3 linked regions of the Oryctolagus cuniculus genome follow. The protein of the gene in region 3 binds, or shares a complex with, the protein of the main gene of each other region. Links are inferred from orthologs where the notes say so. Each region holds a gene or a part of one and is shown on either strand. Other genes may lie near its edges.

Region 1 (4,575 bases), on a different chromosome or scaffold from region 3:
CAGTATCAGCCATTGCAGCCAATTGGGAGTAAACCAGTAGATGGACAACCTCTTTCTCTCTCTCTGCCTCTCCTTCTCTCTCTGTGTAACTCTGCCTTTCAAATAAATAAATCTTTAAAAAAAAAAAAAAAAGAGCAAGCTTCTATTACCTAGAGTGCATTGAGTTTCTGTGATGACGTTTAACTCTCTCAGGTACAGTTTCTCCTTATGAGACAAATCTCGTCTCTCTAAATCTCCAAAAGGGAAGAACAGAAGACTATTAATAACAGTAAAGCATTATGCATTATAAAACTTACAAAAGCTTAAAAATTTTCTGTTTAAAAGTACTTCATGTCATGTATCTCAAATACTGTTAAAGGGGCTACACAAAAATTGTTTGAATTCAAGGAATAAAACTGAAAACAGAATAACCCAAAGATAACATAAATAACTGTACGGAACAATTCATCAAAGGTAGTCCTCCTGCAACTCAAGCATGGCTTCTGTACTAACTCATTCCTAAAGTCAAGGAGCAGTGGCAAAACAAACTCATGGCTAGAGATGGGTTTTGTCTTAAATTTCTCCAGGAAAGTCCCCTTTCTCATTTTGCTTTTATATCAGTTCGTGAGACATAATAACACATCAATAGGTGGAGAAGCTGAATGCCAATAAATGAAAATCAGAGCGCACAAGAATAAAATATATATTACCAATAATCCACATCCAAGAATTCAGTGGTTGATAAGCTATCATAAAAAACTACTCTTAGTTAAGAAGTTAGATTTCATTATCACACAGCTAAGACTCAAGTACCTGGATATTTCCGTTTAAAGGAGGTCACGCCCAAATATTCACTGACTTGTTCCTGAAGCATGTAGTACTCTCCGGCTTCATCAGGTGGCCACTTGTACTCTATCAGGTTTTCTGCTGGATAGTAACTGAAGCTAAGCACAAAAGATACACATTATGTCTTCAATGTGGCTTCCATCAAACTTATCACTTCTAATTTTTGAGGATATTTTGAAAGCTCTTTTAAGTATTTAAATTCTTTGCCTGTTATGGCTTGATGTTGTGACAAGCCAAAAAAATATAAAACAGGTAATAGGAAGAGAAACAATTATCTGAAGTATCAAAGCAAAAGGCACGTTGGAAGTAACACCTTCTATAAACCAAGAAGAAGGAGACTCACGTGGCACTTTCAGACTTACGAGGCCAAAGCAAGGTGGCTACCGCTCTGAATTTTTTCTCTTGGACTCATTACCAGTATAAGAGCAGTTCAAAGGCCGGTGCCGTGGCTCACTAGGCTAATCCTCCACCTGCGGCGCCGGCACTCTAGGTTCTAGACCCGGTCGGGATGCCGGTCCTGTCCCGGCTGCCCCTCTTCCAGTCCAGCTCTCTGCTGTGGCCAGGGAGTGCAGTGGAGGATGGCCCAAGTGCTTGGGCCCTGCACCCACATGGGAGACCAGGAGAAGCACCTGGCTCCTGGCTTCGGAGCAGTGCGCCGGCCGCAGCGCACCAGCCGCAGCGACCATTGGAGGGTGAACCAATGGTAAAGGAAGACCTTTCTCTCTGTCTCTCTCTCTCTCACTGTCCACTCTGCCTGTCAAAAAAAAAAAAAAAAAAAAAAAAGAGCAGTTCAAAAAGTTCATGAAAGATGGAAATTAAATAAAGAATTTTAGTGCAAAATTTGAAATCCATGACGTTTTTTCCTCTGTTTTTAAAAAATACTTATTTTGTCATATGAAAGAGTTACACAGAGAGAATCCACCTGCTGGTTCACTCCCCAAATGGCCACAACAGCTGGAGCCAGGCCAGGCTGAAGTCAGGAGCCTGGATCACTATCCAGGTCTGCCACATCGGTGTCAGGAGTCCAAGCACTTGGGCCAATGAGGCCATCTTCCACTGTCTTCCCAGGCACATTAGCAGAGCAACAGATCAGAAGCAAAGCAACCAGGATTCAAACCAGCGCTGATACGGCATGCCAGTGTCACACGCAAAGATTTAACTCGCAACACCATGCCACCACCAGCCCTGCTTTTTTTCCATAATATGCATTTCCCATGAACACTTTGCACAGTCTTCCTTTCGACCGCTAGGTATAACCAACTTCTGATTGTCTCCTGTTCAGCGAGTCACACACAGCCGAGGAAGTCGAGCTCTGGAAGCCCCCTCCTCAGAGAGCCCAACAAAAGGATAACCTGTCCTCTCGCCCTCCACAAACTCAGAGGCAATGGGGACACCTACACGGGTAGCAGGACACGCAGTCAACCGCATGCTGAAGTAGCAGCACCTGTGACCGTTCAACTTCTACCCCACAGGCAGGAAGGGGACACTATCTTCTGCAACTACCCATTTACAAAGAAGCTGACACAAACAGTATTCTCAAAGTTAGTGTTGGAAAACTGGATAACCACGTGCACAAGTATGAAATTTGATCCCTGACCTCATATCAAGAACAAAAATTAACTCAAATGAAGCAACAACCAAAATATAAGCTATCAGAAAGCTCTTCAAAGAAAGCACAGTAAATCTTCATGACCTGGGATTTGGCAATGCATTATTAGATAAGATACCAAAACCACAAGTAACAAAAGAAAAGATAGTCTAGATTTCATCAAAATAAAAAAACTGCATCAAAGCACACTATCAACAGAGAATGAGACAAAATTCCTTCAAATCATGTATCTGGAGCCGGCGCCGTGGCTCAATAGGCTAATCCTCCACCTTGCGGCGCTGGCACACCGGGTTCTAGTCCCGGTCGGGGCGCCGGATTCTGTCCCGGTTGCCCCTCTTCCAGGCCAGCTCTCTGCTATGGCCAGGGAGTGCAGTGGAGGATGGCCCAGGTGCTTGGGCCCTGCACCCCATGGGAGACCAGGAAAAGCACCTGGCTCCTGGCTCCTGCCATCGGATCAGCGCGGTGCGCCGGCTGCAGCGGCGGCCATTGGAGGGTGAACCAACGGCAAAGGAAGACCTTTCTCTCTCTGTCTCTCTCTCTCACTGTCCACTCTGCCTATCAAAAAAAAATAAATAAATAAAAAAAAAAAAAATCATGTATCTGATAATGAAGTAATATCCAGAATATATAAAGAACTACTGTAACGAAACACACACACACACACAACCCAAATTAAAAATGAAGGACTTGAGCAGGGATTCTCCAAAGAAGATAAACAAATGGCCAAAAAGCACACACAAAACACTCAACATCCCTACTCATCATGGAAATGCAAAACAAAATCAATATAAGATGCCATACCTTTTAAGATAACTGTTACCAAAACAAAGCAGAAAATAACAAACTGGCAAGGATGTTAAGCTGATGGGAAAGCAAAAATGGTGTAGCCCCTAGAGAGAAGTGTTAACAGCTCCTCAAAGACTAACAGAACTGCCACCAACTCCAGTGTTCACTGCAGCACTCACTGTAGCCAGAGGCAGAAAGAACCCCAACATCCCTCAGCATATGAATGAACACACGCGGCCTTAACAAGGCATTTCTGATGTAAGAGACTGCATGGAAGAGAGTACACTAAGTGCAACAAGCCAGACAAAAAGGACGAACACCGCATGGCTCTGCTTTCGGTGGTGTTTAGAAAAGTCACATTCACGGACACAGAGAATGACAGTTGCCACAGTCGGGGGAAGGAGGAAATGGAGGCTATTGCTTAACGCTTACGGCGTTTTACGGGTTAGTCAAAAGGTCTGCAAACAGATGGGCAACAGTCGTGCAATCCTGATTAATGACACTGAACTGCACACTTAAGTATAGTTAATATGCTGCATTTTATCTATTTTCTATGATAAATTTTATTTCAGACGCTCTCAGTAGCAAGATCAACTTTGGCGTAACATTGTAAAACAGGAAGAAAACACTCCACAGTGTTTAATAACCCCTTTGCCAAGGCTGGGGAACTGGAAGAGGCAGTAACACAGAGAACAAGCAGTGACAGGACAATACCCAAGATCTTGACTCGAAGTTTCACAGCTTCTGGAGCTGTCTCCTGAGCCCATTCTCCTCCTTTTGGGTGGTTGAGTGCCATCATTTGAATTATCTTCATTGTCATCCTATACATTTAAAGGTTCAAAAAGTACTAATTAGAGAATAAATAATAAAGAATAAAGAAATTTTCCCAGACTTGCTAAAAGTCTCATTAAGTCAAACATTTTCAAAGGACTAGTTATATAAATTTTAACTTCCTATTAATTAAAAGGGGATAACAATCTGTAATGACCACAAAACTGCAAACAAAGCAAGAAAACTTTCAACTTAACCATAAATCTAAATCTATTTTTGCTTTCTTGGCAGGATTAAAATGCCTTTTGCTTCCAATAACCATAAAACCGTGGCGTCACTCCTACCGCAGCTGGAGGAAATGCATCAACATTTAAAGTACTGAACTGAACTGAGAGTAAGTTCTGACAATGCTAGCTGATTACTTTAGGTATTCATATCCCTGTAAAAGGGGGACTTGTGAGTACAGGGACTAAAATCAGGTTACTAACTATTCACTTTTTTCTTATATAGCAAAAATATAACCTACTCTATTGTACTCATACAGTAACACATGCACTTCCCCAAAAGAAGAGTCCTGTATATTT
Region 2 (4,575 bases), on a different chromosome or scaffold from region 3:
CTACTCTTTCTCAGGTGAAATTCACATGACATAAAATTCACCTTTTTAAGTCAATCATTGAGGGGCAGGCATTTGGCATAGTGGTTACGACGCCACTTGGGATGCCTGCATCCTACATCAGAGTGCCTGGGTACAAGTCGCAGCTCTGCTTCTGATTCCGGCTTCCTGTTAGTGTGCACCCCTGGGAGGCAGCAAGTGATGACTCAGTTATTTGGATCCCTGTCCCCCGTGTGGAAGACCTGGATTGAGTTCCTGGCTTCTGGCTTCAGCCTGGCCCAGTCTTGGCTGTTGAAGGATTTGGGGGAGTACATCAATGCATGGGAGCTCTGTCTGTCTCTCTCTCTCTCCATATTTCTGAGAAAAAAGCAATTCCATGATTTAAAAAAATTATTAATATAAAGAGAACAGATTTCGTGTATTTCTTTTTTGTTTTTCTTTTTTCTTTTTCTTTCTTTATTTGACAGGCAGAGTGGACAGTGAGAGAGAGAGACAGAGAGAAAGGTCTTCCTTTGCCACTGGTTCACCCTCCAATGGCCGCCATGGCCAGCACACTGCGGCCGGCGCACCGCGCTGATCCGATGTCAGGAGCCAAGTATTTATCCTGGTCTCTCATGGGATGCAGGGCCCAAGCACTTGGGCCATCCACCACTGCTTTCCCAGGCATATTAGCAAGGAGCTGGATCAGAAGTGGAGCAGCTGGGACTTGAACCGGTGCCTATATGGGATACTGACACTGCAGGCAGAAGCCTAACCTTCTAGGCCACAGTGCTAGCCCCATGATGTTTAATGTAATTATCATCACTATCTAGTCAAAATATTTTCCTCGTCCCTAAAAGGAAATCCCTTCCTTGAGATAGGTTTTTTCCACTGCTCTCTAGCCTCCAGTCTGCTGTCTCTTTGGACAGATCTGTGCCAGGCCTTTCCTATAAAAGGAACCACATAATCTGTGACTTTGGGTGTTCTTCCCCCACTTAGCGTAATGCTTTTTAAAGTGCATCCAGCTTGCAGCGTGTGTCACTGTGTCATTCCTTATTAAGGCTGAATACTGGCTGGCGCTGCGGTTCACTAGGCTAATCCTCCGCCTTGCGGCGCCAGCACACTAGGTTCTAGTCCCGGTCAGGGTGCCGGATTCTGTCCTGGTTGCCCCTCTTCCAGGCCAGCTCTCTGCTGTGGCCCGGGAGTGCAGTGGAGGATGGCCCAAGTGCTTGGGCCCTGCACCCCATGGGAGACCAGGATAAGTATCTGGCTCCTGCCATCGGATCAGCACAGTGCGCCAGCCGCAGCGCACTGGCTGAGGTGGCCATTGGAGGGTGAACCAACGGCAAAAGAAAGACCTTTCTCTCTGTCTCTCTCTCTCACTGTCCACTCTGCCTGTCAAAATAAATAAATAAATAAATAAATAAATAAATAAAATAAAAGGCTGAATACTATGGAATCTATTACAGTTTATTTATCTTTCATCCCCTGGGGGCCATTTGGATCAATTCTGCCTTTGGCTATCAGGGACAGTGCTGCTGTGAACATTCGTGTACAAGGATCTGAGTACTTGTGTTTAGTTCTCCATCACATATGACCCAGAGTAGAGTTGCTGGATCCTATGGTAATTCAGTGTGCGTCTTTTCGGGTAATCACCAGCTGAACCATTTTACATTCTCACCAGCAGCGTGTCAGGGTTTCTGTCTCCACGTCCTTGCCAACACTTGTTGTCTTCTGGATTTTAGTTACATCACTCTCTGGTGGGGGTGAAGTGGTACTCATTAGCCTTTTGCATTTGCATTTGATTATGGTTTCCCTGGAGTCCTGGATCAGAGTAAAATTAGATATGTGTGTTCAATCTACCATTATTAACCCAGAAACCCCGTCTGCTGCTTTGGGCTAGACGGAGGTCTGGGAATGGCCTGAGAGGGGTACTGCCAGAAAAGAGCCCTTAGGCCACGGTGCAAGGACAATGACTCCGGACACAGCTCCGTCCAGAGCTCCTGGGTGATCTTGGGCAAGTCTCTGAGTTTTGCCTTCCTCAGCTAAGTTTGTGCTGTGACATTCTTGACAGCTCTCACATTCTACAGATCCGTGTGAACCAAGGCGCTTGATCTGTGTCCCCTGTCAGAGTTGTGTGTACGTATGTGTGCGTTGATGTACGCATACGTGTACTAGTGTGTGTGTGCGTGTGAGAGTATGTGTGCACCCCCATGCACGGCTGTGGGTCTGGGCCTCTCCCTTGCTGACGCCTCCCGTCCTGCACTTCCTCCCCAGTGGAATACTCGGGCCAAGAGGGAGAAGCTGACGGAGCTGATGTTCGAGCAGTACAACATTCCTGCCTTCTTCCTGTGCAAGACCGCCGTGCTCACCGCGTATCCTCCGGGTTGAGCTGCTCCGCCTGGGCGGAGGACCAGGGTGGGGTGTGTGGAGCGCTGAGCCGGGAGCTGGGCTGGTTCTCTGAAGATCAGTGTCGCGGGTGGACAGACGCCTCCCTTCACCCCACTGGTGCAGAAGGCCCAACGGGTTGAGTGCATGGGGGGCAGATCAAGGATCTTTCCTCATTCCTTGGATCAAGCGGAGTAGAGAGAGAGTCGGACAAGTAGACGGCCGGGGCTGGAGCTGGAGACAGGGAGGGGGATATGACACGGAAGGGGGCTCCTTCCCAATCAGCCAATCAGCGTAAGACACGGGGGGGGGTCCCTCCCAATCAGCCAATCAGCGTAAGACACGGGGGGGGTTTCCTTCTTAAACAGCCAATCAGCGTTGCCCTTTCTTCATGGCCTGCCTTGCCTTGACCCCCGCGCTAGGCTCTGGGGTGATAGGATCGCTTAATTTCAAGGCGCCCGTAGGACACAGAGCTAGGCATGAAGAGCTGGGAGTTCAGAAGGAAGAGAGGAAAAAGCTGTGACTCAGACAGGGAAGACGGGGGTCTTAGGAGCCTCTCGCAGGAGTTGCGCCAGGGGGAGGGACTTGCAGACCGGTGGGCGGGACGCAGGGAGAGCAGGGAGTGACCGAGCCAGATCTGAGTCCCAGTCCCTACTGGCTGCTGCAGTCTCTTTGACCCACCCGTCCCACACCAGCTTTGCAAATGGACGCTCCACGGGCCTTGTGCTGGACAGCGGGGCCACACACACCACGGCCATTCCAGTGCACGATGGCTACGTTCTGCAGCAAGGTGGGGGCTCGGCAGGGGCTGGGGGTGCCCTCGGGAGGACCGGGTCCTGACGCTGCTTCCTCTTCAGGCATCGTCAAGTCGCCCCTGGCAGGGGACTTCATTTCCATGCAGTGCCGCGAGCTCTTCCAGGAAATGGCCATCGACATCATCCCCCCATACATGATTGCAGCCAAGGTGGGGCCCCCAGGGACCCGGAGCTGCCACCACAGAGTCCCAGGCGCTCACCCTATGCCCGTCAGCCCCCTGACCCATGAGCCAGCAGGGTAGAAAGCAGTAGGGCCCCCAGGAGACCCTGGATCCAGTTCCTCCATTTCCAGTCGAGGCATCCGAGACCTGGCCGGGCTGAGGGACATGACTGAGATATTATGCAGCCGGCCGGCTTGCAGAAGGACTGTGCTGTGGGTTCTGGGGTCCAGCAGACCCAGGTGTGAGTTCTGCCTCTGCCTCTGAGCTGTGTAACGTCAGGAACGGTGTGGAAACTCCCTGAACCTCAGTGGAGAGGACTCTGGGAGTGTCCAGTGATACAGCATGCACCTCTCATGAAACACAGCCCAGTGAAAGGCCATTCCTGGAAGCTTCTGGTCTCCCATTGGCACCCATGCTGTGTGACCCTGCCCGTTCTCTCTCCTCTCCATCAGAGAAGGGTGAGGGACACCTCTCCAGGCCCGCAGAGCAAAGATCCCAAGCCAGCCAGCCTAGGAAGGCAGGTGCGGTCATTTGGGCTAGACAAGCTTGGGCTGGGCTGGGGTGCTTAGAGGCTGTACCCCTACAGGAGCCTGTTCGAGAGGGTGCCCCCCCAAACTGGAAGAAGAAGGAGAAGCTACCTCAGGTCTCCAAGTCCTGGCACAACTACATGTGCAACGTGAGGCACTGGGGAGGGCCCCCTGAAACAGACCCCTCCCCAGAGGCTCTGCAGGGGGGTGGAGGTGGATGCTCGGGAGCCAAACCAGGTCCTCACCCCTCCCCGGTTCTCAGGAGGTGATCCAGGACTTCCAGGCTTCGGTGCTACAGGTCTCAGACTCCCCCTACGATGAGCAGTGAGTGGGGCTCGGAGCTGGGGGGTGGGGGAGGAGATGGAATTAGGGCTCAGGGGGGCCCTCCCCCTGGGGCTTTTGTGAGCACCCCAAGCAGAGTCTTGCTCCTTCCCGGGCAGGGTGGCTGCACAGATGCCCACAGTGCACTACGAGATGCCCAATGGCTACAACACGGACTACGGTGCCGAGCGGCTCCGCATTCCCGAGGGCCTGTTTGACCCCTCCAATGTCAAGGTCGGGCTGAGTGGCGGGCACTGGGGTAGTGGCCGGCCGGGGTCCCTGGACACTGGAGGAGGCTGAGAAGGACTACAGGGGTGGTGGTGGTGGGGGGGGACAGAGGGCCCAAAGCCCAGGTCGCCTTTGTCCACAGGGCCTGTCGGGGAACAC
Region 3 (5,142 bases):
GGGAAAGTTCAGACGAACCCCTGCACGTAGCACAGTGAGTAAGAACAGAGAAAAGCCCGACTTAGAGGGAAAGGGAATCAGCTGTATGTGGACACAATGACACCACCAGCAGCTGGGCTGGACCTACGTACACAAGACGGAGGCTCTAAGCCCTGACTCTCCATCGAAAGTGCATTCAAATTAGCTTGCCTGCGAGCAGCTAAAAATAGCCAGCCAGCAGCTCGGAGGGGAGTGAGAAGAAAGGTGAGCTTCTCCCAAGGAGCTGCTGGGGTGGGCGGTCTGGGGGCTGCTAGCTGATGCTCCCCGGGAAGCAACCGAGAGGCTGCCAGGGAAATCTACCCCGCGGGGTGTCTCCAATCAGAGTCGGGAAGATGGAGGGGGGCCACAGTGGGGATCAAGGACCTCGGGACTCAGAGGAAACATGGCTTCCAATGCTAAGTACAAAAAAAAAAAAACCCAAAAAACAAAAAACAAACCCACACAACAGAACCATCTGCAGATACTGCTAAATCCAACGGTCAGCAGCACCAGGAGGAAGGTAAACAACAAATCAGATCCCAGGACAATAAGGTTCTCCATTCGACCCCCGTGAGGGCCAGAGCTGTAGGAGCCAGATACAAAGAACCATTGTCTCTCAGCGCAGGGCACAGAGCGTCCCTCTCACAGGGGCTGTGAGCAGCAGCCGGGCGTCCTGCGACCAGAGAGCACTGCTCCGTTCCCAGCAACTCCCACCCTGGACGCCGACCACGGTGGACCTTGAACTCACGTCCTCCAGGAGCCGTCCTTCTACCCGAAGCTCCCAGGAAGCCACCGTGCCTTCCCCGTCCTCGGCATCTGACTTAGCCGGGTTGAAAGTGTTCGAAATGAAAATTCGCAGCTTCCGTTTTTGCTGAGGAAGGCAGGGACAGGAGTGATGGTGGGGCTTCAGTGGTTTGACGCTGAAGACAAGGGTCTCCCCGAACCCCAAGGCTAACTCCTCCACGTTCGCCGTCTCCCCAGCCGCTTGGGTACACGGAGGGAGACTCCATTTAGGAGGGGACTACAGGCCTCGGGCCTGACTACGTGTGCGCACACCGCATGCCAGGTGGACCAGAGTCAGGCAAAGTGGCAGGTTCCCAAGGTAGCAGAGCAGTTATAGCAAACACATGGACAGGGGGTATTTCTGGAACAAGACATCAGAAGCCCCTCCCCTTTGCTGTTCTGTTCTGGATCGCCTAATGTAATTCCCTGTTTGTAGGCGGAAGGGGGAGAGGCAATTTAAATGCCAAGGAGAACAGCGCTGCGTCCTTGGTTTCTCCTCCCGGGCCTGACGCAGGTTCCCGCGCCCTCTCTTGGCGCTCCGCCTGGCGCGTCTGTGTGTTACCTTGATGGGACGTTTCAAGGCCTCCTGGATATCCAGCCGTTTCCTCATGATGGTCTGGTCCAGCTTCCTTTCAAAAGCCAAGAGATCCATATAGGCCTGGGACTCTGGAACCAGCTCGCGGATCTTAGGAACAGAAAGGTGATCACTGGGGTCTGGCGCCTGAGGGCTAGCCTCCAACTCACCGCGCCCTCGAGAAGACCCACAGTTGGGGACTCACCCTCTGAGGTAGAATTTTGTCAGCCATCTTCTTTTTCTTTGCACTGGTGGGGATAAATACTGTTATCAGGTTGGACTAGAACTAGTCAGAACAGGAAGATAAGCTGTCAGCACCTCCATGTATGGTCAAGCGAGGGGACCACAAAGCTGCCCTCAAATAAGATAGCCCCCTGCCCCCAAAACCCCTACCCCCATAAGCCCAATGATGAGTGGCAGGTCACCACCTGCTGATGCAGTCCCCCTACCCCCCACCCTTCCTGGCTCAGGGGCTCCCACCACCTGTGTCCTCCCAGTCCCCCTCTCCCCCCCCAGGGGTGGGGGGGCGGCTTACTTGTGGTTTCGGTTTTGGACCGCCTGCTGTTGGGCCTGCTGGATCTGCTGAGGCGCAGGCCTCTTGCGGGACTGGTCCATCCCTGACTGGGCCAGGCCAGGTCGGACTGAAGGAGTCCCCCCATAGCCAGGGGGTCCCATGGAAGGTCCCTGAGGTGTCATTCGGCTGCCTGGCAGCATGCCTGGTCTCTACAGAGGGGAGAGGACCCAGACATGTTCCAGAGGCCCGCACCGCGAGAGGGCAAGCTTGGGGCGCCTGAGTTCTCGGAATGAAACCAGGCTAGGGGGTTCAAGGACAATGAGAGGAGAGCCCTTGGCCTCTTGGAAATATGGGTAATTGGGGCTCCCTCCGTTCCACGAGTGCTTCCGTGGAAACACAGGGCCCAAAGGCTTAGAGGCAGCCGGACTGAGCCCACTCAGATTCTCCCCGGTCCACTTTGGATCTGACCCATGGCCATCTCCGCTGGTCCTGCACTTACTCGGCTAGCTTTGAAGCTGACCTCAATCTACACCGCCCAGCCCTCCGACACCCATCCCCGGCTGTACACCGACTCCCCTCGGAAACAATACCCCTAGGAGCAGGTGGAGATCTAAGTGCCTCCCCCGCCCGCCCGGCCCCGGCCCGGGCCCCGGCCCCTGCCCAAACCCCTCCCAGGGGAGTCCCTCCCACTTCTACCCCTCCCCTGTCACTCCCAGGCCCCCGCTCGGCCCCGCCCCCGGCCCGCGCGCCCCTCCTCCTGCCCCACTCACCGGATAGGCCGCTCCTGGCATCGGGGAGCGGTACAGCCCTTGACCCGGCGCCGGGCCCATTCGCACGGGAGGCCCCGGGGTTCCACCCGGGCCCAGGGCAGCCGCCGCGCCCGCCCCGCCTGAGGCTCCGGCGCCGCCGCTCGGAGCCACAGATTGGAAACCCGCCCGGGCAGCCATCTTCCCGGAGCCGCCGCGGCAGCTGCACAAAGAACCGGAACCGGAACTCCCCCCGCCCCCCGCGTGCGCCCCCCGAGCGCCCGCCTGTCCGCTGCCTGCCTGCCTGCCCGGCAGGCACGGGCAGCTCAGGGCAGCGAGACTTGTGGGCTAGAGGGGGGCGACTAGCGGAAAAGGAGTGCAGGCCACGCCCTCCCGCCTTCAGGGTCCGGAGCGAAGACCATAGAGAGGAGCTGTGGGGTAGAGAGGCCCCGCGAGCGGGCGCCGCCAGCCGACGGGAGGCCGACAGGGCCCTGGGAAGAGGGGGACCGCAGCCCAGCCCCAATCCTGCCTCCAGCCGCTGATGCAGGATTTGGAGTTAACTGCCTGGTCTCCAAAGAGCTTTGCATGCTTTTCTCTTCGTCTCTTACTGCTCTAACCCCGAGGAGCTGAAGAGGAGAACGCATTATTTTCACTTTATAAATGGGAAAGTCGAATTCGAAGACGGTAAACGACTTCGCAAAGGTTAATCAGCAAGTTAGCAGGCGGGCCAGATCCTAGAATCCAGGCTCGGAGCCCGGCACTCAGAGAAAGTCCCACAATAACCACTAAACGCGGGAACTTCCACCCAGTCCTGGAGCGGACTTGCAGCCTAACCTTCTTCCAGATGTTGAGTTGCCGCTTCAACTTGAATCTGCACCCTGCCCTTCTCCAAAGAATCCGCTGTGCTGGGAGTTGTTTGGGGTCTTCGTTACCTTTGACCCCTCCCTCTGAAACCATTCCTGTTGTGAGGTCAGCCTTTCCTATCCCAGGAGGACCCGGGCCACCCTGTTCAAACCTCCTCTTTCCTCTTCCCCGGATTGTGCGAGCCCCCCCCCTCCCCCCAAGGCTAGCCAAGCTCTGGGCAGTTAGCGGGAATACTAGATACTTTCCAAAGAAGAGAACAACACTGAAGCGAAGACGGTTAAAACCCAGTTTATTAGACCAGTGGCATGCGTCACGCAGAGTCCTGCCTGCTGTTCCCCAATCCACTGCACAATTCTTGGCTTTGCTCCCGCACCCCTCTCGGGGAGGTCTGATCTCTAAGGAACTCCTGGGGAACCCAGGAATTCCCAAGAGCCCTAGCCTCTTCAGCTCCAGGCGGGTGCACACAGGGCACCTGCCCACGGGTCCTGCTCTGGGACTGGAGACCAAGAGACAGGTGGGCAGAGAAGGCCTGGGAAGGGGTGGGGCTCTGGCCTGCGGGGAGCGGCTAGTAGAGGCAGTGGGGCAGGCCCTCTACCTCGCTTGGGTCCCTCATCAAGGGGCGGACAAAAAACAGAGCTTTCAACTCACTCCCTCTAGGTGTCTTTCCCCCCCACTGCCAAATCCTACCTAACCCAAAAATATAAGTGGTGGGCTTCGGTATCCGCTGGGGGAAGGGGCTGGGTGCCCAGGAGGAGGGAAAGGCCACAGACCGAGGGCCTCAGCTTCTGCCGGTCAGCCTCCCACTGCCCCAGCTGCAACAGTCACCAATCCCCAGTTCCCTTCTCTCTTGGTCACTCTTGGCTTGGTGTCTAGAGGCGGTCTCTGTCCCCTGGGCTGGGGGCTACCTCTGCAGCTGACCCTTCCCTGGGAGGACAAGGGCAGGGGGCTAGGTGGAGCAGCAGGAGGATGTTAAGGCTGCAGAGGGTGCCCTGGGGGCTGGCGGGAGAGGGTGAGGCCAGAAAGAGGCAGAGTTTGTGATTCACAGCTTCCTTTTATGTCGCCACCGAGACAGTGCGAGGGTTACAATGCGCGTGTCGTCTCCTTGTGCTTCTCAGAGGGATGTGTGTACACAGTACAGACACCGGGGAGAGAGTCCAATTCTTTATACAGGCGAAGGCATTCAGAGACCAGGGAGGGAGCAGAGACACAGAGGGGCTGGTTGGGAGGCTTGGGGTGGGAGGATGGTTTTCAGAGACAAGAGGGGATGGGGTCCAGACAGACAGGGGAGGGGCAAAAGTATACACAGAGATGTAGCAATATAGAGTCTGTATCATATAGAAATAGAAAATGCAGATGAGGTCGTTGAAAGAAGCAAATGAAGTCGGAGAAGAAGTCTTGGGGGAGTTCCATAAGAAAATTTATGGATGTGGCCCTCCGCGGGGGCCTCCGGGGGAGGGGCCGGTGAGGGTGAACTTGTAGGTTATCAGAATGTGGCCTACAGCACCAGGGCCACATCTTGTGCCCATCGGGGCCTCCTCCACCTGCACCCCCACAGATATTCAACTGTGTGAGGGGGCCGGAGTGAGGGTTTAGTTCTGGCCTGGAGACGGGTTTGGGGCAGTCACTGGGCCAAGAGGGTCTCT

What was found.
Region 1: SMARCD1 (region 3) and PHF10 share a complex: the UniProt entries of both Homo sapiens proteins name them as parts of the neural progenitors-specific chromatin remodeling complex. The link is inferred for Oryctolagus cuniculus from reciprocal best matches to the Homo sapiens genes SMARCD1 and PHF10.
Region 2: SMARCD1 (region 3) and ACTL6B share a complex: the UniProt entries of both Homo sapiens proteins name them as parts of the BAF complex. The link is inferred for Oryctolagus cuniculus from reciprocal best matches to the Homo sapiens genes SMARCD1 and ACTL6B.

The regions. Positions count from the first base shown.
Region 1 is NC_091436.1:630,354-634,928, reverse strand, and holds part of PHF10 (PHD finger protein 10), read right to left. Parts: intron 4,042-4,575; coding exon 3,935-4,041; intron 924-3,934; coding exon 793-923; intron 234-792; coding exon 150-233; intron 1-149. UniProt on the Homo sapiens protein: Involved in transcription activity regulation by chromatin remodeling. Belongs to the neural progenitors-specific chromatin remodeling complex (npBAF complex) and is required for the proliferation of neural progenitors.
Region 2 is NC_091450.1:42,835,130-42,839,704, reverse strand, and holds part of ACTL6B (actin-like protein 6B), read left to right. Parts: intron 1-2,253; coding exon 2,254-2,351; intron 2,352-3,059; coding exon 3,060-3,154; intron 3,155-3,221; coding exon 3,222-3,328; intron 3,329-3,926; coding exon 3,927-4,016; intron 4,017-4,129; coding exon 4,130-4,191; intron 4,192-4,307; coding exon 4,308-4,422; intron 4,423-4,558; coding exon 4,559-4,575. UniProt on the Homo sapiens protein: Involved in transcriptional activation and repression of select genes by chromatin remodeling (alteration of DNA-nucleosome topology).
Region 3 is NC_091442.1:53,417,699-53,422,840, reverse strand, and holds the start of SMARCD1 (SWI/SNF-related matrix-associated actin-dependent regulator of chromatin subfamily D member 1), read right to left. Parts: upstream 3,446-5,142; 5' UTR 2,837-3,445; coding exon 2,660-2,836; intron 2,099-2,659; coding exon 1,911-2,098; intron 1,624-1,910; coding exon 1,581-1,623; intron 1,487-1,580; coding exon 1,364-1,486; intron 890-1,363; coding exon 767-889; intron 1-766. UniProt on the Homo sapiens protein: Involved in transcriptional activation and repression of select genes by chromatin remodeling (alteration of DNA-nucleosome topology).